Arabidopsis thaliana: one gene and its partner. The protein of the gene in region 2 interacts with the protein of the main gene of each other region in a biochemical or structural test. Each region holds a gene or a part of one and is shown on either strand. Other genes may lie near its edges. The genes, in order: SYP41 and VPS45.

Evidence for each region.
Region 1: the proteins of VPS45 (region 2) and SYP41 form a complex in vitro, tested with the Arabidopsis thaliana proteins (one study listed by BioGRID).

What each region holds. Positions count from the first base shown.
Region 1 is NC_003076.8:9,485,086-9,497,284, reverse strand, and holds SYP41 (syntaxin of plants 41), read left to right. Parts: upstream 1-6,192; 5' UTR 6,193-6,680; coding exon 6,681-6,880; intron 6,881-7,064; coding exon 7,065-7,341; intron 7,342-7,440; coding exon 7,441-7,530; intron 7,531-7,763; coding exon 7,764-7,835; intron 7,836-7,931; coding exon 7,932-8,006; intron 8,007-8,123; coding exon 8,124-8,189; intron 8,190-8,281; coding exon 8,282-8,362; intron 8,363-8,453; coding exon 8,454-8,561; 3' UTR 8,562-9,152; downstream 9,153-12,199. Other genes in the region: AT5G26990 (Drought-responsive family protein), read right to left, coding at 3,646-3,754, 4,005-4,267, 4,588-4,665, 4,943-5,085, 5,844-5,919; AT5G26970 (uncharacterized protein), read left to right, coding at 9,899-10,225; AT5G26960 (Galactose oxidase/kelch repeat superfamily protein), read left to right, coding at 11,136-12,199. UniProt on the Arabidopsis thaliana protein: Contributes to the regulation of secretory and vacuolar transport pathways in the post-Golgi network, and to the maintenance of the Golgi apparatus and trans-Golgi network (TGN) morphologies. Together with VTI12, required for membrane fusion.
Region 2 is NC_003070.9:28,979,015-28,992,489, reverse strand, and holds VPS45 (vacuolar protein sorting 45), read right to left. Parts: upstream 8,557-13,475; 5' UTR 8,328-8,556; coding exon 8,238-8,327; intron 8,102-8,237; coding exon 7,900-8,101; intron 7,806-7,899; coding exon 7,726-7,805; intron 7,449-7,725; coding exon 7,221-7,448; intron 7,094-7,220; coding exon 6,968-7,093; intron 6,858-6,967; coding exon 6,774-6,857; intron 6,704-6,773; coding exon 6,562-6,703; intron 6,458-6,561; coding exon 6,279-6,457; intron 6,062-6,278; coding exon 5,906-6,061; intron 5,668-5,905; coding exon 5,560-5,667; intron 5,475-5,559; coding exon 5,353-5,474; intron 5,232-5,352; coding exon 5,100-5,231; intron 4,870-5,099; coding exon 4,809-4,869; 3' UTR 4,455-4,808; downstream 1-4,454. Other genes in the region: AT1G77145 (transmembrane protein, putative (DUF506)), read left to right, coding at 1,200-1,313, 1,401-1,602, 1,846-2,312; PGSIP2 (plant glycogenin-like starch initiation protein 2), read left to right, coding at 11,262-11,314, 11,544-12,313, 12,391-13,424. UniProt on the Arabidopsis thaliana protein: Involved in the protein transport to the vacuole, probably at the level of vesicle fusion at the trans-Golgi network (TGN) and not in transport from the TGN to the prevacuolar compartment, by promoting the recycling of vacuolar sorting receptors back to the TGN.

The DNA of each region.
Region 1 (12,199 bases), on a different chromosome or scaffold from region 2:
ACTTATGTGAAGTATATAAATTCTAATAAATTTATATACTTCGCATACGGGATTTATATATATTTTTTCATCAAATCAATCCACTGTTTCCAAACTATAAGTTTGTTTCGTAGTCACATTCGCATAATACCTGTTTTCCAATGTATGAATCTACTAGTCGATTTTTTCCCAATAACTTTTACTTCGTAACATATTGACATTAAATAATGATTCAATACAATTATTAGTGCATATGAAGAAGTTAAATTTATGTTGTTACATTTATATTATCCTTAATTAATGTTAATACTTGAAAAAAACATGATTACAAAATCCAATCTAAAACATTTATAATTCTATAGCTGAGAATTAACTCTCTGCATATCACAAACATTAGTATCCCCTATCCATCTATAAAATATAAGTACATGCATGATTTGTAGATTCCACAAATTTATCTCATTTTATATCATAAAATCTTTTTAATGATTTCATCCTATTTATTACTATACATAACTTATTATTGGGTGAAACTTTGATATAACAAAATTTTTGCAGTCATTTATAACTTTGGGCATGCATATTTCAGTAGTTTTTGAAAACTAGTATAAAAATATATTCAAACCCAAGCTTCGGATCCTAACCATAGGAAAGAAAAAATAGGCGCGTATTTTCGATCGACGTGGCTAATTATAAAATCAATGGTTTAGATTAAGGATTACATTAAAATAAATACTCGGGCCGAAATCAAATGGCCCACTAAAAAAGGCAGCCCAGAAACATGCTGGCTAAAGTGAGGATTAGGCACATAAAGTTTTCAGTTCATAAAAAGCACACATCAATTTCTGAACCTCCACTTTTTTCTTCTCTTCTTTCAACTTTTACACTAAAATTAGTTTTGCACTATTTAACTACATGTCATCTCCCCCATAAATAGACAAAAATATTGAATTATTTTCCATGATCTATAAATATGCTGTTATAAGATTTTAGCTAGTGGGGATAATAATATCTACATTGCATGTATTATTATCATATCTTTTAGAAGAAAAAAAATCAAGAATGTCTCTTTATTGACATTGAAAATACAGAAATCTAAGTACCAACTTTTAAAAATGAACATGACCCTTTTTGCCAAACACAGTGAACACACCAACCTGTAAAAGTATAGCTTTGCTTAGATAGATAGTTTCTTTTGATATATTTATGATTATGTGTGTGTGTATGTATACGTTTTAGTGGTCCAATTCAATGGATCTTAATAATAAATGGATTATTGCATCCGAAATGGGACCGTTTATTACTAATTTTGTAACAATTAAGACCCTTAAGTGCATAGTTTTAAGTTGAGGCAGTTATTAGCTCTTTTGGGGGAGAATTTAATCAAGTTAATTAAATTGCTAAGTGGAAGAAATCATTTCATTTGCTTCCTAATTAGTAGGAGACACAGACCAAACATCACTTTCACTAATGACATGTTTATCTCTGTTTAGATATCTAAGGGTGTTACTTAGTTACGATATACATAAATAGATAATAACAATGCTTAGCATAATTATTAAAGATTGGACACAAGACGACAAAAGAGGTTAAGATGATAATGATTTGATGTACTTGGAAAACACTTTTGATTTGTTTAGGGCTTTGGAAAGGGTCCTCAAGTGTCTACTTTATCTTTGGGAATGGAACATTAAGAATAGTAAACAAGGTCTACTGTCTCTCCCGACGTAAACACTTTGGCCTTGAATAGATTGTTGTGGTAACATAACAGCGAATGTTGTGATAGCAACTAAGTGTCTATCTAATTGACTATATAATTATTTATAGTTTTAGATCAATACTAGTAAGATTATAGTTCCTTGGATTGTAAATTTTGGTATTTCCAACACTTTAAAACGATTGCTGGATCTTTAAAAATCAATTGGATGACACAATGCTTGAAAGAAAATGGTCTATTAAGTTCTCAAGTTCGAGTGGAGCTTCCAAACAAAGTGCGCCTCAAGGTATCAAGTTCGAGTTTTGTTAGCGGAGAAAAGACTAATTAACATGTTATGGTCTCCAACCCAAAACTCGAAACATCTTGGTTACAAAAACAAAATGCACATACTAAAAAATAATATAGTTCTCACTATTAATATCCGGCTCAAAGAAGTGTTTGAGGCAATAGGCAAAATGTACACACTACTCTTTCATATTCTCTGAACAAATTCTTATATCAATCAATCAACAAATCTATACAACTCTCTTAATTCTCATATTTATGGATATGGGCTAGAAATATAAGGTTGCCTCTTCTTCTTCTTTTTTTGGCATAACGTTTTGGGGGATAATTTAGTATTAAGACTTCAATGCAAATACATTGCTTAAAGTTCTACTAGATGTTTTGTCTTCGTAGAGGTCAGGAGATCAACAAAGACAGAAAGAACAATAGTAGTCAATACGAAAATATATTGTGTTGTCACTCTTCCGATTCTGAATTTATTCTGTGGTCATCAATATTGAAGTAACAACAACTAAACAACTAACGCAGACATTGACTGGGCCTAGAACATCCGGCCCATGTGTACAACAAAAAAAACTCATGTAGTACGTTGTTGGAAACCAGGAGCTTAAAAAACGACGATGTGTTGACAAAAATAGTCCCACATCGCTTAGATCCAAAATAATGACAAGGGGACGCAGAGTATATATAGAGAAGCAGACGTTTCGAGCAAATTACTTACCTGGACGGGGTCTACTCGCGATCAACAAGACGAGTGGCCTAGGCTAGTGACCGCATTGCACATACCGTTGGGGTGCTATGCCTAAGGTCTTCCCTTGAGGAGGATCCTACGTCATTATTTGTGGCAGAAGGGGTTTGCGTTCGCGCAGCCCCTACCATTCAATTAGTCTCAATCTGTTATGCCTTAGGTTAGAAACCTGTTTTCAATATGGACAAAACAGAAATATCAGGAACTCAAGTGACGACGTGTACATTATATTGTTTGGTACACCAAAAAGTCCCACATCGGAAGCATATATTGGCTTCATAGGTTTTGCTTGGCTATAAATTAAGAGGCTCTCACTCTGTAGAAAGTCATCTTTGCGCTTGGGGCAATGACGCAGCTAATGAGGTCTTAACCGAGGCGCGTCTATTGCTGGTTGAAAACTATTTCCAAACCCCCTCCTAGGCCTAAGCTTGTCTTGGGCCTTCGAGAATTTCTGGAAGAGCTCCCTTCCGGGTAAAGCTCTACAATTCTTAGTTCAATTTTTATCCTTTAGGTTATGTCCTTGTCTAGTTGGTTGGTTTACACATTTTTAATTTGTCAAAACCGAAAATTAAAACTCTGCGATCTTTCTAACCCCAAATAGTTTCATCAAACTTTTGATACAAAACACCATAGTAAGACCAGAAAACTCAGTGCAAATATATGATCAAATACATACCTTTTTTTGGTTTCTTTTTGTAAGACCTACGGTGTACAGACAATTCGAGTGTTCATTAAAGCAAATATGTAGTTCATAAGTTAAAAATAATACTCATTATCATGTCTCTCTTTTACATTATTCTGCTTATTCCCAAACCCTTTCCCAAATCAATTGTTGCGTTTAACACAACAAAGCCGTTACATTTTCCAATCGCTGAATCATCTAACCGTAGACAAGTTACCGGAATATGTTTCTCCTTTATAAGCCGTCTTCAAGAATCATAGAGCTCAATATCCCTTGAACGAACTCGCTCTGTTTCAACTTTTCTCTGTGATCCTCTGCTGAAAGAGACTGCTTCTCAACATTCCTGTATAAGACAGATCAAGACAAGAACCATCATAACAAACTCTGCAATTTGCATTTCTACAACAACAACAAAAAAAACACTCAGATCACAAGAGCTTTTAGGTTATTGGTAAAACAAGGGATCAACTAAATTCCATTAAGGCTCATAAAAACTAAGGATGAGTAATATGCGATGACTTAACAAGAATGATCAAGAAATCAATGAGGATATCATCCAGAAGTGTAATCCAAATGAGAATGTGGAAGCATACCTTTCAGGCAAACTCTGATTCAATGTTTTCTTGGCAGAACTTGTGTCTGCACATAGACTTGACTCAGAAATGAAAAAGTCATCAGCCATTGGTGAAATGAATGAAGACAGTAAAGGATCAGCAGCTATACTGGCAGAAGAAGAGGATACAGCACGTGATGTTCCTTCAAATAGGCTCTGAAAATTTCCATCAGGAAACTCTCTCTTCAAGATCGATAGCATGGATTGAGCCCCGCCTCTTCTTGATTTCCTTTTCCGCGTCACGTAATATTTTGTTAAGGAATGTAACTGTTAGAGATAAAATCTTTATTATGATAGTAGAAAAGATAGAACAATAAAGCAACAAGAGTATAAACTCAATAGAATCCTCCAAAGCTCTCAATTGCTTGGTTAGGTTTCACAAACAAAACCTAACCCTTACTTCTAACAGAACATAAATAAAAGACTCTAGGAAAAGTAAATCCTAAACTATTTCCTAAATCATAAATCAGGAAGTATTCATATCATTAACACAACTCATTGGAAGAATCAGATAAGTACATGATCGTTAAAAATATAACTGGTAGAGAGAGCAAAAAGGATATCTTGAACATATTTGCATGTTGTAGGGTTATATGAGCAATCATATCAGAGCTCACTTTCACCGCACAAATGGGACATACCTACAAGATTAACAATGTCAAAACGCAGAATTGAAAACAAATCTTGCTATTGTAGCAATAAACAAGTGTCCTAGAGTTGATTTCTTCTCTGAGGAACACTGAGTGGCAATTCCAAATACTATTTCGACGCATTTCATTAGGTTACTTTCACTTTCTTTATATCCAAGACCAGTAACTACTAAACATAGAACAGTGCTCTTACCAAGAATGATATGATGAAACAATAAATAGATTTTGATTCAAAACGAGAGAAAGGTAACATTGAGGAAATATCTACCCCATTTTTTGCATCCATAGGATGATCTTCATCAATGTGACAGCATAGAGAGACGATATCAAAATAGTCTGAACAGAACGGGCAAGCATACTCCTCCCTGAAGTCATCTTCTCCTTCTATCTCCTCAAACCCCAAGAAATTGTCTGCGTTTTTCAAAAATGAAGAAACTAGTCAAACACGGCCAAGAGAACATTCGAAAATGTGACAACTACAAAACAAAAGCCTAGAAAATAAAATGACAACTACAAAACAAAAGCCTAGAAAATAAAATGGGAAATACTAAAAACGCGTTCCATTCTCGAAGTTCCAATACAAATGGGTTTCAGAAGAAACATCAAAGATATCTAAATAAACGAATGGAAACTAGTAGATCATAAAACCTTCCCTGGCAAAGACGTCTAAGTTTGAGATGAAACTAAAGCTTTTAAAAACGTTTTTACCAACAAGAAGTTTTGTATTTACTTGTAAGTCAAACAAGAATCATCAAGATTCCAGCTTTTGACATTAAGTTCATACCAAAACCTAGAAACAAAACACACACGCTTAATCAATCCCTAAAGCCTCACATTAGTAAAATGCCTCAAAAGACAGAATTTATTTCCTCCATTTTCCTTAAATTCAATATCAGCAAAACAAACATTTGAACAATCACCATTTCAAATATTCAGAACAAGACACAATCAATGTCTTGTCCCATTTTGTTCGGAAAACCAGAACAGTAACAAAAATGTCAATCTCTTACAGTCAATCTCGATCCTTGATCAATTCAAAAGAAAACAAATTTGAGGTCTAAATATCATTGATATTTTTGCAATAGAATCAAGATTAAATTTAAGACAAAACCAATCAAATCTCAAATTAAGAAAGAACAAATCCAAGTTATAATTTTTATCAAACTCACCAGATCGAGACAAGAAATCGAGCTGATATCTTCTTGAAGCCGATGCGAGACGATCACTCCAAGAATCAGAATCCATTTTTTCTACGAAGATTATTACAAATCGAAACCAAAGAATCCACTTTTTCAACAACAACAACAAAAAATCAAATAAATTCCAAGAATCCGAATTGATCTTGAGTCCGGATAAAACAAAAACAGAGATATTCCGATTCAAGAATCAAAAGATTCCGACGAAATGCAAAGACGAAGACGACGACGACGATTTTGCGTCTTTTTTTTCTGGAATTCGTCTTTTTATCTTCTTTTTTTATTATGGTTTTTAATTCTTTGGATATAGAGAGAGAGAGAGAGTGAAAGACATAGAAGAGATGAGTTCTATTACATGTATTAAATTGTTTTTTAACAGCCCGCACGAATGCATGCCGTTTAAACCTTTTACCCGCCGTGTTTTTCCCTTTTGGAATATCAAAACGTCATGCTGTTAGTACGACGCTTACGTGTCGAAATATTATTGGTTTGTATTTGGTAAGCTGGTGAAACAGGACAAAGTTAGCCGCGCAACTGTTTTTTAACTTTTTTTTTTACTGTTTCCAAAGTTTTAAGTTTTGGGGAAATAGTGAAAAGTGAAAACCTCAATTTGCAAATCTGAGAGTTTACTTTCCTCATCGGAAAAAGTTTTGATCTCGCCGCTCTCCGAGCACTTCCTTGTCGGAGTCCCAATTTTTGTGTTCGGTTTTATTCTCGGTCGATGATGAAGCCGCGATTGTGTTCAGATCGGAGCTGATTTCGAATTTGGATGTGAAATTGAGATTCTAGGGATTTCAAATTTTGACGATCATGGCGACGAGGAATCGTACGTTGCTGTTTAGGAAGTACAGAAACTCTCTGAGAAGCGTCAGAGCTCCATTGTCGTCATCTTCATTGACGGGAACACGATCCGGCGGCGTTGGTCCGGTGATCGAGATGGCGAGTACTTCGTTATTGAATCCGAATCGCTCTTACGCTCCTATTAGTACCGAAGATCCTGGAACTTCTAGGTACTCTTCTCTCTCTTTATCAGTGAAAATGGTGAACAATTTGATCAATTAGGGTTAACTGGAAATGATTAGCTTAGCAATGAGAATGATAATACATCATTGATAGTGTAGTTGAAGTAAATGTCTGTGAGCTACGTTAAGCTGAGAGTTAGTAGTTACTGAGATATTTTTGGTCATGTTTTAGTAAAGGTGCGATAACAGTGGGCTTACCACCAGCTTGGGTTGATGTCTCTGAGGAGATATCTGTGAATATACAGCGTGCAAGGACTAAAATGGCTGAGTTGGGAAAGGCTCATGCCAAGGCGTTAATGCCATCGTTTGGGGATGGTAAAGAAGATCAACATAATATTGAGTCTTTGACACAGGAGATAACTTTTCTATTGAAGAAGTCTGAGAAGCAACTTCAGAGGCTTTCTGCTTCAGGGCCTTCTGAAGATTCAAATGTTAGGAAAAATGTGCAGGTAGTTTTGACTTGATGGAAGCTGCTCTTAACACATTTCCTTTCTTTTTGCTGCATTTGCCATTGCTATCTAAGATTTATCATGTGTGTTTAATAACAGCGGTCTCTTGCCACTGACCTCCAACTTCTTTCTATGGAGCTTCGCAAAAAACAGTCAACATATTTGAAACGCTTGAGGCAGCAAAAAGAGGTATGAAACTATTATCTATTTTAGTGTAATTGGCATTTCTTATACCGGAAACTATGTGATGTTGCAGTGTCTCATTCTTTGAAGTTTTTGTTTGCTTTCTGCTCCTCCGCCTCAAATGAAACTTCTTTACATCGATTTCATAGATGATAGATTCTTTTAGTACTTGTTTTTTCAGAGTATATTATTCTGTCCTCTCAAGAAGCTTTGACTTGAAATGTATTATCATTTATCAGGATGGGATGGATTTAGAGATGAATCTGAGCAGAAACAGATATAGACCTGAAGAGGATGACTTTGGCGATATGGTTTGACTCCTATACCTGTTTCATTCTATCGATTTAAAGCAATCATTCGTCTTATGTCTTCTTTATTGATGGAATTTTTTCTCGATTCCTTTTTAGTTAAACGAGCATCAGATGTCAAAGATAAAAAAGAGTGAAGAAGTATCTGTAGAGAGGGAGAAAGAGATACAACAGGCAAGTGCTTGCACTACGTCTTTGTTCTTAGTTGTTTGTAGCTCACCAACGTTTTTTTTTTTCTTTTGCAATCAATCATAATCTTTTTTCTTCTTCGTTGTCTGTGTCATTGTCCAGGTTGTAGAATCAGTAAACGATCTTGCTCAAATTATGAAGGATCTTTCTGCACTTGTGATAGATCAGGTTAAACTTATTTAATCCCATATTCTCTTTGTCTAGCTTTTGAGTCTTCTTCCTTTCGAAAAACAAACTCAAAGCAACCCGTTTAATTGCAGGGTACAATAGTTGATCGGATAGACTATAATATCGAAAACGTCGCTACTACTGTTGAAGATGGTCTCAAACAACTACAGAAGGTAAAAATAGTGTTCTCTCTTCAACATTAATGTCCAACTATTTGTTTGTCCCAATTCTAAATGAAGTGGATCGCATAAAAAAACTTCACAGGCAGAGCGAACGCAGAGACATGGAGGTATGGTGAAGTGCGCATCCGTGCTTGTCATCCTCTGTTTCATCATGCTGCTACTCTTAATCCTCAAGGAAATATTCTTGTGATCGGATACTATAATCCCTGGTTAGATCAATAAGAAAAGTTCGATCCTTAACTATTTCATTCTTTAGCCCCGAACATCGCATGTTTTCCTTCAGGGCTTTTGGTTTCAACTTCTTTGCATTTAACAATACTAAGATCCTTTGCAGAGTAGTTAGTACGTAATATTATTGTGTAGAAGAAGACCATAGATAGTCAGAGGTCGATGTCTGAGGAGTTGAGAGATCTGTGCACCAACGCCAAAATACTCTCTTCACGCTAAAGTCAAGTGTTCTTTTAAAATGTATAAGATTCCAGTCATAGTTGTTGGAACTTGTTTTTGACAAAATGGTTTTGACCATTGTAACTTGTGGATTTTCCGGTGAAGACGTTCATTGGAGTGACCAGATTTCGGGCAAGATGGAATCGTAGCTGCGAGCACTACATGGTGGAGTATTCAAATGTGAAAACGAGTTTGTTTGAAATCTTTTACTTTCCGGTTATTGTATCTTCGCATAAATTACAAATTCTCAACATTCTAGTTCTTTTAAAAACATATATCATTTACAAATGTATAAATATTTTTCACTTGAAACAATGAAAACTTTATACACGTTTTTGTGATGAGTTAATATGAATTAAATTACATCTCAAGTTCTCAACTCTAGTTTGAAATTGGTCATGCCAAATAGCCTAATTGAACTTGTATTGTTATTGTGTCATTATCATGGTTCAAACCCATATTATAATCATACTGTTGACAAAAATTATAATTTTAATATTAAATTTGTGTTATTATTTTTGTAGATAATTAGCTGGAGGGTTTTTAAAAGAAAAATATAAAAAAAAAATTAAATAATGATTATATCAGCGCTTAAAAAAGATAGTATTATCCTGGATAGCACATTATTTTTTTTATCTGTTTCTAATGATTCTTTAAATTACCTTTAAATATAATAAATTACATATCTAAGAATTTTTTAAAATTTATGATAATATTTTATCTTTTTTAAATGTAGCATGTATATAATAAATTTAAAACTTATATTATATATAGTGCTTCAATAAAATCCTTGAACATGTATAACCAAAAAAAAACCTCAAACAACATGTGCATGGATGTTTACCAATTATCATTTAAAATATAGTTATCTTATTTACAATGGATGTTTACCAATTATTGGTTATATATTTATTTACAAAAATAAAATGAAAAAAAGTAGTTGATGGTTTTAGTCTTTTTTTCGCAATAGGGATAATTTTATTGTTTAAGTCAAATATTACATGGATTATGAAATACCCCAGAACAAAAAAGCTACAGAAACATATTAGGCCCAACTAAAGCCCAACAGAGAAACCGTCTATGGAAGAAGAAATATTATCTTTTGTCTCTATCCAAAGCCACGTGTCTTCTGCTGGAGAGAAACCAATACACGTACTGGATGAGAATCCAAAGTTTTCCCGACTTCATCCTTCGCCGTCAAACATCGACTCCGGTGAAGATTCAACGTCGATTAACAAATCAAACATGGAATCTTATGGGTTTTCACCGGTAAAAATAATCGAAGCCCTAATTAGAGAAACAACAGCTCAAGGTAATGTTAATATGCAACGGAAATCACTTTTTTTTCCAACTCAAATCTCTGATTTGTTTCCTGCAATTCTAAACTCAAAAAGAAAAACAGGTTAGATAATAAGTAACAAAAAGCGAAAACCGCTCTATCATTATCACCAACACATCTCAAATGAGATTTATTGAAAGCAAAGCTAATTTATGAAAAAACAAAAAGCAGCAAAAGAACGCTGACGGCATAGCCGACCATCATCACTGTGAAAGCTGAATGATACCGGACAAGAGCTGGCCAACACCGGAAAGAACTGGTAATTGCCAGACGATAATCCCTATCAGAGAAGACGGTAGCCGGAAAAAAATTCGGACGGCAAAGTGAGTTTGAGGTTTCTCTCTCTCTGAAAGAATTTAGAAAGAGAAGAGAGAGAAAAAACTTTGGTACTTAATTAATTATTTAAGTAATTAATTGATGATTTTAGTTTGTCTTGGAAACATACTTAAAACCAAAAAAATATGGAAATGGATTGTAATTTGTCTTGGAAACATACTTAAAACCACTCAAAAAACTAGATTTCCTGTTTTTTTTTGGAGAAATGTTTTTGAAAAACCACAATCATTTAAGGCCTTGTAGTTTTATTGCCAATGGAGTATGAGTTACTATCAAAAATTGAAAAACAAGTGAAATTCATATCCTTTTTAGTCTTAGCTGTATAATTTTCTGCATGGCCGGATCTAGTTAGTACCTAATATAAGTTAAACTATACAAAGTTATAGTTAAGATTACTTCATTAATTATATTAAAAGAGGATTAGTACTTTAGTAGATAACCCATAAACGAAAGCTAAGTAGTTGAATTTGCATGTGTACGTATATGGAGTATAAAGCAGTATGTACTATTTATTTATTTAGTGCATAGTCTTTTTACTTTCTTAAATCACACTTCCCTCTCAACTCCGTAACTCCCACAGATATAATAATTTATTTTATTTTCATATCTTAGAATTAAATTTGTTCTCTGAAGATAATTCTGATGTCAGAAAACTGCAATTCTCGCCATTTCTCATGGCTCATGAAATCTTGTTTACCAAATCCCTCCGACGCCAAATCACTAGTCCAGATCCACCAACCGTCGTCCACGGCGGCGAATTCTTCAGCTACAATCGCTTCTCTACCTGACGATTTACTCCTCGAATGTATCTCAAGAGTCCCTTCCTCTTCAATTCCTTCTCTCGCCGTCGTTTGTCGCCGTTGGTCTCGTCTCCTCCACTCTCCTTACTTTCTCCATCTCCGTCGTCGTTTAGGTTTGCTCCGACATTCTCTCTTCGCGATATCCACCGTCGATTCAGGACTTTTCGCCGCGGATTTGCAGTTTCAGTCCGAGATTGCGTCGTGGAAAGTGTCTCTTGCGGTTTCGAGTAGGTCTGTTGGCGTTGACGGTAGTTATGGAAGTTTATCTCATGCTCGCGCGGCGGCGATTGGACCTAGGGTTTATGTTGTTAGTAGAAATGCTGTTTTGAGATACGATTCGTGGATGGGAACGCTTAATTTGAGATCTCCGATGATTTTCCCTCGGAAGAAATTCGCAATCGCGGTTGTTTCTGGTAAGATCTACGTTGCTGGAGGTGGTGGTGGTTCGGAGGTTGCGGCGGCGGTGGAAGAGTATGATCCGGAGTTGAATCGGTGGGAAGTTGTGACTCAATCGGCGAGGAAGAGATACGGTTGCATCGGAGCAGCCGTTGACGGAGTTTTTTATGTGATCGGTGGATTGAAAATTGGGAATGAGACCTCACGCGCGGTGGCGGCGCGTGCTTATGCGAGCTCTATGGATCTTTTCGATGTGGAGTCGCGTCAGTGGTTAAGGAGTCGTTCGGTTCCTGGTGGTGGATGTGTAGTGGCGGCGTGTGCGGCGGTTGGATATGTGTATGTGCTAACCAGTCACGCGGTGGAGCTTTCGTTTTGGCGATTTGATGCGCGTCGTCGTGGTGGAAACAGCGGGTTTGGAGAATGGCAGAGGCTGAAAAGTCCGCCGTTACCGGCACAGGTGCGGTTAGATGGAACGGTGAGGTTTAGCTGCGTCGGAGTGGAAGATAAAGT
Region 2 (13,475 bases):
AAGCAAAAATTATACAAATAAAGAAGATACGGTCCACACGCTTTTAGCCCGTCTTAATTCCAACAATTGCAAGTTTAAACGAGTTATTATAGCCCAATACGAAAATTTTAAATTCCATGTGACTAGAGAGCATCCAAATCAAAACGCTGTAAATCATCGGATTATTAGCTACCGTCACTCGGATTATTATTATAATTATCTTAGAGATTCAATATCGTCATGCTAATATTTTATCTTGATAAGTATATATATATGCGTGTGGTATCGTCGTATAAGACAAAATCTATTAAAAGGTTATATAAGATGGTTTAGCCATCAATGAACAGACAAAATTGATTACGAGATAACCTTGCTTCCAAATATGTGACAGTGAGTTTGGATCGATGGTGAGCCCATTTCGATCAACATTATAGTATATGCTATGACGTGCATATCTATCTACTTTGATCGATAATTCAATAGACACAGATAAAGTATTGAAGAAACATTAGTCTCGTGAGGGTTTTGCATTTTGGTTTTCTGTTGAGTGTTGACATTGTGATTTTACCAAAGACTGAGGGATCGGTCCAAATCAACGAAAAATAATATTAATTTTAATTTCTTTGAATAATATGAATATATCTTCTATATAGACTCCTGATCAATTAATATTTCATTTAAAAAAAAAAAAAACTAGTACTATTTTTTGTGTGATTAGACATAGTGAAATTACCACTTTATTAGATATAACATTCTAAAACAAATTAAAATATCAAAAAATATTAAATAAAAATCAAGACTTACGAATTGAGTTTAATCTAAAATATCCACGTATACATAATTATAATCTCAAGCATCGACTATGTGGAATATACGACAAGTGGAAAATGACATGAAACGACTTTTTATACAGTCGCGTATGACATCAAACGCAAAGTAGTTTGTATTTCGAAGAAAAGGGCAAAAAAGAAAGAAAAGTCACGACGCAAACTCATGTTATCTAAAACATATAAGCTAATACAACAAAACATTAGAAAACGAATAATAAAACAGTTCATTTAATAATGCAAATGACAATGGATAAGATTATGACACACGTCACTCAGTTATATTCATAAAGAGACTCAACTGCATAATAACTTTTGCCCTCACAACCTTTTTCTCAAAAAAAAAAAAACCTAGAAGAATAGGAAGAGACACAGGTGAAAGAACATTTTGAGATGGGAAGCTTGGGAGAAGAAGATTTAGAGAAGCTTGTGCTCGATTATATCGAGTCTCCGATCACCGTCTCCCAGCATATTGAGAGTTCTACAACGGCTCTTATCACTCTTAAGGTCTCTACATATCTCTTTTCACCAAATACATTTTCTCTTTTTTTTTCTGGATAAAAAGGTTAAACCTAGCTAGAAATATTTTTACAGGAGATTCTTAGGGCAAAAGGAGAAAAAGAGAAGGAGATGGAAGAGAAGATATGGTCGTTTATCAATGGAGGAAGGTTATCATATGAAGGAGACGATGAGAAGAGAGATGTGATGAACAAGATTGTCTCTAAACTCAGATCTGAAGGCTATGATGCTTCTCTCTCCAAAACCTCATGGGACTCTTCTTTTGATCATCGTGAAGGTAAACAACACACTTTCAAAGAAAGATAATATATATGAATATCTAGAAAGATCCATATAAAAACAACCTTTGACCTTTTCCTTGACTATTAGATAACAATGGGAAAGTCTCTATTTCTTTACTTTTTTGGGTTTTTTTATGATAAGTTATTTATTTGTGGGTTTTTGATAAGTTATTTATTTGTGGGTTTTGTGATGATAAGATATTTATTTGTGGGTTTTGTTTGTGAAAATGTTGTTACAGGGTGTAGAGTGTTTAGGTGCTCGAGGAAGTATGAGTACATTGACGTCATGGTGAAGGGTGATAGCAACCGTGATGGCGTAAGCAAGCTGAAACGTGTGATAATTGATCTTGACTTCAAAACTCAGTTTGAGCTAGCGAGACAGACAGAAGCTTACAAAGATATGACTGAGATGCTTCCATTAGTGTTTGTGGCGACAGAAGGGAGACTGAGAAGAGTTGTTTCGTTGGTTTGTGGTGAGATGAAAAAGTCCATGAAGAAAGAAGGAATGTCTAGGCCTCCATGGAGGACTACGAGATACATGCAGTCCAAGTGGCTACCAGAGAATCGTCGAAGAGTCTCCGGTTGTAAGAAAGGTTCTTGGTCTTGGTCTGTGTTTGATGATGGTAGTGAAGGAAGAGGTGAAGCTAGGACTTGGACAGTAAGTGGTAGTGGTCCGAAAACTAAGTGTTGTTTTCCTATTTTCTGAGAGGGATGCTGAGAGGGATGCGCAGCGTTTTCTTTTTCTTTGCTTATCAGTTTTTAAAACTTAAAACTTAAAAACATCGGAGTTGTTTTTTTCGTATGATTATTCCTTTTTGGGGGTGTTCTTGAAATTTTTGAATTGCTTAAAAAAAATGTTGGGCTTGTTGTGTCAGGTTTTTTTCTGATGCTATCTATATTGCATCTTCTACTTGTATCAATAGCCGATGGATTACTCTATAATATGTATTTTTGTCGTGATGCAAATTTCCATTTAAGTGAGACGGTAAACTAAAGCTCTTTTGGTTTAAGATTATACTATTTGATTATGGTGGATAATACATTTGATACGAAGACTACTTCTTTGAAGATGCTGAATTAGATAAATACATTTTTATTCATTTTGAATGTTTATCTCCTATATATGGACCATGGTTATATTTTGGTTTAAGGTTGACATGTATTGTAGTCCTAAAGATTTAGATGAATTGTAGAACAACATTTTCTAAAAGAACAACATAGAGAGTTTAATTAACATGTGAGTTGAAAACTAAAACGACAGAATTTAATAGTCGAATAATCGAAATTTTAGTACTAGAGACTCTTATGTAGAGTGTTTTTTTAGCGACAAAAAAAGAGTGTTTAAAAAAAAAACGGTTATAACGTTACAAAAAACTGATTTGAATATAATATAATAGTGTATAATGAACCTTTTTTATAAGTAACATGAATGTTACTGAATATACAAAATTACAAATTAACATAATTCATGAAAAGTAAAAGTGATATATTAGATTCACTATAATTAGATCAGTGAAAAACATTCAATATTTTCTTAAAAAGTTAAACTTCCTTTTTTTTTGTAGTAAATTTTTCTTTCAGAAATCAAAAGAATTTGATTTAAATGCTCAACCTCTAAAACCCTCCAGCACTGACTTTTCATGAAAGTTGGGATGACAAATTTTCCAATTTAGCATGAATTGCATATTTGCATTCGTTGTTGAAAATGTAACCAATTGGTAATTTTCTTACGAATATCTAAAATCAGAATCATATGATAAGAACGATGAGGTGTATATATAAGACCACAGACAAAATATCTAAAGTTAAAACTGTAATTAATTAATAACCAAACCATCACTTTCAACCATATGTACTTTGATAAGTAATCTCTCCTTCTTCTTTTTTGTCTTATCTATTTCGTCACGCTTTATTCTTTCGAATTTAAATCCGTGGTAGTTTGCTAGAAACTTCGGCTAAGCACACAGTAATCAAAATTCAAAAAGTCAGATAACTAATTAACTAAGAAATTATGCATTATCTAGTTAACTTAAAAATTATATACGTAATCGAATTGAATAAATAATAAATAAAGAGAGGAGACAATTTAGATGAAGGGATCGAAGAAACAGAGAAGGATCTAGTATAGTCAATAGTTTTAAAATTTGATATGAAATGGACAGTCAGAGACTGCTTAAGAGCTAAGCAGAAAGAAAGAGATGTATGTGAAGAACTTTTCTCGAGCTCCTCAATTCTTTAATTGTTTTTATTACTGATTTGACGTTTTAATAAAACTATAGCAAAAATTACCGCAAGACGAATATTTCTCAAGAATGAGACTTTTGCTAGTTGACTTCAAACAATTTTAACCCCTCAAAATCCAACTTGATAGAGGATTAAATTGCACATAATCGCTTTGTTAAAAGTATGAAATTTGGATGTAAAAGTAAACCTAATGATTTTTTTGGAATGTATAGTAAATATATACTATTATGTTGTAATGGAGGGTTTCTGTGAAGTGTGTATGTGTGAAAGAACAACAAGTAAAAATGCTTCCAGAGCAGAGACAGAGAGTTGTGTCAGCTTCGCTCTCACATCATATTACGACATTTGAGAAATCCAACGGCGACAGTAGCCGAGCTACATAAGATACTCCATATATACTCAAAAGAGCTCTGTTTTTATGTTTTCTCTTTGATTGTTCTCTTTCCCAAATCGGTACTTACTTTTGATTGACGTCAGTCAGATTTTACTCATTACTAATTTACTATTATAAAAGTGATTTTATTCATTATTATAAAAGGGAGTAGTAAACTAGTAATATTTCAAAAATTCCACATATGATTTTGTTTTTTAAGAGTAATAAAGATTTTTTGTTATGAAATCTCTCTGGTTTTTGTCTAAAGTGTTATTATAATTTTGAAAAAGATTATTAATTCTGTTTTGTGCAATTATGATAGAGGAGTAAAATTTCCTCAGGTTACATTTTCTTGATTAGCCATAATTGTGTAAGAAGAACGGTCCAATTAAACTGTACCACGATGAATACACACACAAACCCCAAAAATTAAATCTCTGGTGGGGTAATCATCATCATGTATACGAAAGATTCGACGAACCTGACCACAATCTTCTTCTTTCATTTGTCTCTTTCTTCTATGTGCTCCCCGGAAGAATCTTAAGACTTAAAAAATAATTTACACAAAATTCTTTTGGATCTTCTTCACACCATATGGCTACCTGATCTTGATATCCTTTGTGCTTCTTCCAAGTCCTTTAGAAATCTGTCACAACCAAATTCACTTTTCAGCTTACATTTCTCTTATAATACACTTTCATGAACTTTGTAGACCAATTTAGATTCCTAGTTATTATTTAATTCAAACAGCAATTTCGGTTTGGGCCTTCTATGACTTAACCAATGTTGATATTTTAGTTGATCAGTGCTGTTTCGACCTAGAACTCAAAACCAATCGAGGCTCATTTGCACACACTGTCTTAACCTCAGCATTACCTCTTGGAATTAAGCACTGCGGTGCCGCCGAGAATAAACCGAACCCCGGAGTTGGTGGCATTCTGTAGAGCAACAGAGCGTGATTCCTCGTATGTTGTTCCACCAACCATAAAAATAACCACCTCTTGTGGCCTGTTTATCCAGAAATTTTGCAGTTTTTGATTAGTTATGTAAGTTTTCACGAATTGCAGAAATCTGTAACTATCAAACAAGTTACCTGTTTTAAGAAATTGAAAAAATTAGAGGCACATACCGTCCCTGTTGAAAATGATCTCCAACAAATGGGTAATCCACATCTCGTAATCTCCCTCTAGTTATGCTCTCCATTGTTTGAAACAGAAGAGGCTGATGTTGAGTGTAGACATTCTCAACACCCTGTATTTTTCAAGATGTCAGTAACATGACATATATATAGGGAGATATAGAATGTTGCTGGAGACGAGTTAACTCAGATACAGACCTTAAGTCCACGAGCCATGTTACGTGCTATATTCAAAAGATCTCTGTTTCCAAATAGATCACCAGTGCGCTTCTCCACACCGGCTTGTTTCAAGAGAAATTGAACTAGCTGCAGTTGCATGGCAACCAGAAAGTTATAACATGATTTGAGGGTACTTTTATCAAGTTATTCAAAAATAAAAACGAAAAGGTAAAACTACTATGGACGGAATTGCAGATAGGTTAACAAGTATAGTAGTAGCAGAGGGACAGATCAAAATCAACCTTAAAAGAGATGCAGAATAATAAAGCCACAAGAAAGAGATGCAATTTAAACTGAAAGGAAACAGATGATAGTCTGACTGTACCCCTGGTTTGTACTTGGGAGACCGTGAAGCCAATTTGTTGAACAATTGCATCAACTGAACAGGATTTTCTTTCTCATAGCGCAAAGCATATAGCATTACCAAACGCAGCCGGTCGATGTCAGACACACTTTCATTATTTAAGAGATCCGTAACTGCCTGCAAATAAGCATGAATAGAGAGTCAGAGCTCCGTGCTTACAGCAGAGTCTGCACAATTTTGCATATTTCGCTAACTTCTGCAGGTTCACTGGATTACATTCGCATGAGACTCCAAATTATTGAATGCCAAATTATTCAGTAAGAACTTCTGCAGGTTGTAGCTATTTTTTAATATATGCGACTACAAGTGAATGTTCACCACAGATATTCACTACCTCATATGCAGCTCCTTGGCCACCATTGCAAGCCAAGTCCTGCTCTGTTTGTGAAACCGTCATCAGTTTCCTTGCTTCAACTAGCTTGCTCATTTCAGTAACCAGAGTTACATGCTTTGAAACGTTGCCTTGCATCTTTTTGTACTCAGGGTAGTTGTCAACAAATCTGGCCATATCCTCTGTACAACCAACGAATTCACAGATATATAATTGTCACTAGCACGAGAATCTGTTGTTACAAAAGTTTTTGCAGAGAATAGTTTAAGACTAGCCATATTTGTACCTACTGTCTGGATATTTTGGTTACTCTTGGCCACCTGCTGAAAGTCATCTACCATTCGCTTGATGTTCATTCCAATATCCCCAAAATTTTCATACATGTTAGATTTGAAAAATGCATCTTGTTCTGATGATAAAACCACCTCCTGCCAGGATAAGAGACATATTAGCTGTAAGGTTCTCAACTAAAAAACAATGGCATTGGAGAAAACTAACCACTTGCTGATCTTTTGGAAGACTTCCAATGGATTTCAAGTCCACTTTATTATCTTGAAGTCCTATGAGTTCGTGCACCATTGCCTACAGAAAATCTCGTTAATTAGTAAGTCGTAGTCTTACAAAAAAGCAAGACAGCGGGAGGCACATCTTATATCATAGAGTAGCACAATAATTTTGTTTAGTCAAGTTACCTGATATGTCCACTGATTCAGCAATGGGGTAACCGGGTCATCTCTTCTGTCAATTACAAGTAGCAACGGAGAGCTTTCAGTCCGTCTAAAGTCAAAAAGAGCGCTTTCATGCTGATACATCAATTTCTGAAACATAAACAGCGAATTTTCAGACTATTGGATAGACACAAGTGGGAATTAGTTCCATCACATGCATGCAAAATATAGCGGGAACAAATAACTTTACGAGAGCTTGTCAAACAACTTCACTTACAGCTGTTTCGTGTGCAATCCTTTTTGCAGTATCAGAGGTCCTCTGATATCTGATGACAGGTCTTCGTTTCAACGCCAGAAACACTGCCGCAATTCCATCAACAACCCGATCGGAAAAGCGTTGCAAACCAGAGGGATCGACAACTGCGGGGATCATATATAGATGATTTGATGCCATATTCAATGTGAAATGATATGGATCACCAGAAACAAAGTCTGCATAATACTCCTGCAATATAAAAAACCACAAAGACTATGTTAAACAAGCCATTATACAGTACTATGCCGAGTGCACCAAGCAATATAAGTTTAAATCAGAAAACTAAAGACAGGTAGGGGGGATACTAAGCTCCACAAGTATGGCCGTTTCATCACAAACCAAGCAACTTCTCAGAGACAGCTAAAAATCTATACATATATTGATCCATCATATAGGCTATGAAACATTCTTTTAGCATTAGCCTCCTATTCAAAAACATCATGGATGAGGGAAGTCTAAAAATCACCTGAACTTGCTGTACAACTTCCTGCTCATCGGAATCAGCCAAAATATGAATCTGAGTATCCTTCAACAGATTGGAGAAAACTGAAAGAATTCATAACAAAAACAACATCAAATTTTGTATATTGTGAGTGAACAATGATAAACTCGAAATAGTTAGAAGATGAAAAAATCATACATAAATGGTATTCTCCAAATCTAGGATTCGCAAGCTGGTATCGTAATTTCTGAATATTATCTGAAGTTGGACGGATGAAATAAACAGCTTTCAGATGTGACATCGATTCTTTTGACACAGATATTGAATCTATCATCTCCACCAGAAACACTTCTTTCTGAAGCAGCTCTGACTGTGAATACACAATGCTTACATTGCTAACCTGCAAATTCAACAATTAATCCAATAAACAAGTAATCACGAAGATGTGTTTCCGGTTACAAGGGAAATTATGAACCACGATTCCAGAAACAAATCAGAGAAGATTAGCAATCGAAGAAGACGAGATCGGACTTTACCGTTTCGGAGTCGAGTATGAGAACCTTCATGCCGGAGATGTCCTGAAGCATCCGGTTAATGTAATCACGCACAGACGTAACCAAAACCATCGTTTCACCGCAAAATTCTGCTACTGTTACGACGTTGATTCAGATCTACGGCGACTAATCTGATGATTCTTGTTAACAATAACGCTGGCGAAGTGATTTCGCGTTCACTTTCAGATCTTCCTTTCCTTAATCGAGAAAACTAAAAGGTCCCCAGACTCGTCGACTCATACGAAGAAAAGTGTTTTTGCAAAACAAACCCTATATTTTATTGGTTATTCCTCTTTTCAACACAAACTTAATTTTTGATTAACTGAACCTAATTTGAGGGTTTATTTATTAAGTAATAAAACATCAGGGTTTTACAAAGGAAACATCTAATAGATCAGGATTTTTCCGCAAAAAAATTCAAACTTAACATTGACCCATCGTGTTGATTTTGTTCCGATCCGTCCGCTAATATAATATAATTTGGATTAGCGTCAAAAACGTGTGATTATTGTAATGCTCGATGCATCCAGCTTCATGTAGTCTCTCACTCAGGAAAGTCAAACTTAATATTCTTACAGTGAGAATGAAGCTCTCTTCTGAAAGTCCCATGGCGCCGTCAAGTCAGTCAAGTCATCGACTTTACATTTCCAGGTAAGTCTTTTTCTCTTCTACTTCATCAGTTTCTTGAGTTCAATGGAAACTACTTTACCTAACTTAGGGGAATCAGATAGGATCATAGATCATGAGAGCAATGTGGTTGAGTATGTGCATTACAGAGATCTGTATTCATCTGTTGGCTTGACATAGTGCATTTGTTTTACATATATAGTGAGAAAACAAAAACGAAGAGATTCCAAAGAAACGGATACACTCTCGATGTTGAAATGTGTGTCAACTTCTCTAGTCTGAAACTTGTTTTGTTTCTTATGATGCTGGTTGCTATGTTCACACTCTACTGTTCTCCACCGTTGCAAATTCCTGAAGATCCATCAAGTTTTGCAAACAAATGGATACTAGAACCTGCTGTAACCACAGATCCTCGCTATATAGCTACATCTGAGATCAACTGGAACAGTATGTCACTTGTTGTTGAGCATTACTTATCTGGCAGAAGCGAGTATCAAGGAATTGGCTTTCTAAATCTCAACGATAACGAGATTAATCGATGGCAGGTGGTCATAAAATCTCACTGTCAGCATATAGCTTTGCATCTAGACCATGCTGCAAGTAACATAACTTGGAAATCTTTATACCCGGAATGGATTGACGAGGAAGAAAAATTCAAAGTCCCCACTTGTCCTTCTCTTCCTTGGATTCAAGTTCCTGACAAGTCTCGAATCGATCTTATCATTGCCAAGCTCCCATGTAACAAGTCAGGAAAATGGTCAAGAGATGTGGCTAGATTGCACTTACAACTTGCAGCAGCTCGAGTGGCGGCATCTTCTGAAGGGCTTCATGATGTTCATGTGATTTTGGTATCAGATTGCTTTCCAATACCGAATCTTTTTACGGGTCAAGAACTTGTTGCCCGTCAAGGAAACATATGGCTGTATAAGCCTAAACTTCACCAGTTAAGACAAAAGTTACAACTTCCTGTTGGTTCCTGTGAACTTTCTGTTCCTCTTCAAGCTAAAGGTCAGTGACTCAGTAGTAAGTTTCTTCGTCTTTTGTATCAGCTAAATTTGACATCTCTATTCTCTCCTCCTAAGCTGATTATGATTCAATTGCAGATAATTTCTACTCGGCAAATGCCAAGAAAGAAGCGTACGCGACGATCTTGCACTCAGATGATGCTTTTGTCTGTGGAGCCATTGCAGTAGCACAGAGCATTCGAATGTCAGGCTCTACTCGCAATTTGGTAATACTAGTCGATGATTCGATCAGTGAATACCATAGAAGTGGCTTGGAATCAGCTGGATGGAAGATTCACACATTTCAAAGAATCAGAAACCCGAAAGCTGAAGCAAATGCATATAACCAATGGAACTACAGCAAATTCCGTCTTTGGGAATTGACAGAATACAACAAGATCATCTTCATTGATGCAGACATGCTTATCCTCAGAAACATGGATTTCCTCTTCGAGTACCCCGAAATCTCCACAACTGGAAACGACGGTACGCTCTTCAACTCCGGTCTAATGGTGATTGAACCATCAAATTCAACATTCCAGTTACTAATGGATCACATCAACGATATCAATTCCTACAATGGAGGAGACCAAGGTTACCTTAACGAGATATTCACATGGTGGCATCGGATTCCAAAACACATGAATTTCTTGAAGCATTTCTGGGAAGGAGACACACCTAAGCACAGGAAATCTAAGACGAGACTATTTGGAGCTGATCCTCCGATACTCTACGTTCTTCATTACCTAGGTTACAACAAACCATGGGTATGCTTCAGAGACTACGATTGCAATTGGAATGTCGTTGGATACCATCAATTCGCGAGCGATGAAGCACACAAAACTTGGTGGAGAGTGCACGACGCGATGCCTAAGAAATTGCAGAGGTTTTGTCTACTGAGTTCGAAACAAAAGGCGCAACTTGAGTGGGATCGGAGACAAGCTGAGAAAGCGAATTACAGAGACGGACATTGGAGGATTAAGATCAAAGATAAGAGACTTACGACTTGTTTTGAAGATTTCTGTTTCTGGGAGAGTATGCTTTGGCATTGGGGTGAGACTCAGACCAACTCCACCGTCGCTGCTGATTCTTCCTCCACCGCGTAAAACCGTACTACTGTGTGTGATTTTCGTTTTCTGGTTAAAATTTATTCAAACATTAGAGTAGGGGTTAAAATAACAAATACCTGATAAGTAAAGGTTCGTTTTGCAAAACACGGACTTCTAAAAATCTCATTTTCCTAATACGCACCGTTTTGTGCCTTGGTCCAAAATCAAATTAATTTCTCCTTCCCAAATCCCTAAAATGTCTCGTCTTTTGTTGTTTACCAGGCGATTATGAAATTCTCGAAACCGACCCTGGTCTTACGGAGACGATGATACCTTCCTCAAGTCCCATGGAGTCAAGACATCGACTCTCGTTCTCAAAGTTAGTCTTCGTCTTCTTCTTCTTATTCTTCATTAGTTTCTCTAGTTTCATGAACACTACGTACTATTCTTAGTTAACTTAGTAGCTTCACACACATGGTTGACTTTTCTGGAAATCAGATCTTCGATTTTGTTTTTGATTCAGAAATGTGTTTCACAAGCGATCTATGTTTATCTATCTGTTGGATTGACATAGATAATGACTCATTCGTTTGTTTTGTTGTGTGTAGTGAGAAGACAAGTAGGAGGAGATTTCAAAGAATTGAGAAGGGTGTCAAGTTCAACACTCTGAAACTTGTGTTGATTTGTATAATGCTTGGAGCTTTGTTCACGATCTACCGTTTTCGTTATCCACCGCTACAAATTCCTGAAATTCCAACTAGTTTTGGTCTTACTACTGATCCTCGCTATGTAGCTACAGCTGAGATCAACTGGAACCATATGTCAAATCTTGTTGAGAAGCACGTATTTGGTAGAAGCGAGTATCAAGGAATTGGTCTTATAAATCTTAACGATAACGAGATTGATCGATTCAAGGAGGTAACGAAATCTGACTGTGATCATGTAGCTTTGCATCTAGATTATGCTGCAAAGAACATAACATGGGAATCTTTATACCCGGAATGGATTGATGAAGTTGAAGAATTCGAAGTCCCTACTTGTCCTTCTCTGCCTTTGATTCAAATTCCTGGCAAGCCTCGGATTGATCTTGTAATTGCCAAGCTTCCGTGTGATAAATCAGGAAAATGGTCTAGAGATGTGGCTCGCTTGCATTTACAACTTGCAGCAGCTCGAGTGGCGGCTTCTTCTAAAGGACTTCATAATGTTCATGTGATTTTGGTATCTGATTGCTTTCCAATACCGAATCTTTTTACGGGTCAAGAACTTGTTGCCCGTCAAGGAAACATATGGCTGTATAAGCCTAATCTTCACCAGCTAAGACAAAAGTTACAGCTTCCTGTTGGTTCCTGTGAACTTTCTGTTCCTCTTCAAGCTAAAGGTTAGTAGCAAGTTTCTTCGTTTTCAGTCTCAGCTAGTTCTCCCCTCCTAAGCTGATTATGTTTATTTCAACTGCAGATAATTTCTACTCCGCAGGTGCAAAGAAAGAAGCTTACGCGACTATCTTGCATTCTGCCCAATTTTATGTCTGTGGAGCCATTGCAGCTGCACAGAGCATTCGAATGTCAGGCTCTACTCGTGATCTGGTCATACTTGTTGATGAAACGATAAGCGAATACCATAAAAGTGGCTTGGTAGCTGCTGGATGGAAGATTCAAATGTTTCAAAGAATCAGGAACCCGAATGCTGTACCAAATGCCTACAACGAATGGAACTACAGCAAGTTTCGTCTTTGGCAACTGACTGAATACAGTAAGATCATCTTCATCGATGCAGACATGCTTATCCTGAGAAACATTGATTTCCTCTTCGAGTTCCCTGAGATATCAGCAACTGGAAACAATGCTACGCTCTTCAACTCTGGTCTAATGGTGGTTGAGCCATCTAATTCAACATTCCAGTTACTAATGGATAACATTAATGAAGTTGTGTCTTACAACGGAGGAGACCAAGGTTACCTTAACGAGATATTCACATGGTGGCATCGGATTCCAAAACACATGAATTTCTTGAAGCATTTCTGGGAAGGAGACGAACCTGAGATTAAAAAAATGAAGACGAGTCTATTTGGAGCTGATCCTCCGATCCTATACGTTCTTCATTACCTAGGTTATAACAAACCCTGGTTATGCTTCAGAGACTATGACTGCAATTGGAATGTCGATATTTTCCAGGAATTTGCTAGTGACGAGGCTCATAAAACCTGGTGGAGAGTGCACGACGCAATGCCTGAAAACTTGCATAAGTTCTGTCTACTAAGATCGAAACAGAAGGCGCAACTTGAATGGGATAGGAGACAAGCAGAGAAAGGGAACTACAAAGATGGACATTGGAAGATAAAGATCAAAGACAAGAGACTTAAGACTTGTTTCGAAGATTTCTGCTTTTGGGAGAGTATGCTTTGGCATTGGGGTGAGACGAACTCTACCAACAATTCTTCCACCACCACCACTTCATCACCGCCGCATAAAACCGCTCTCCCTTCCCTGTGAATTCTTTTGGCTTTCTGGTTTGGTACAAATTACTCTGCCTTTCGCCAACCA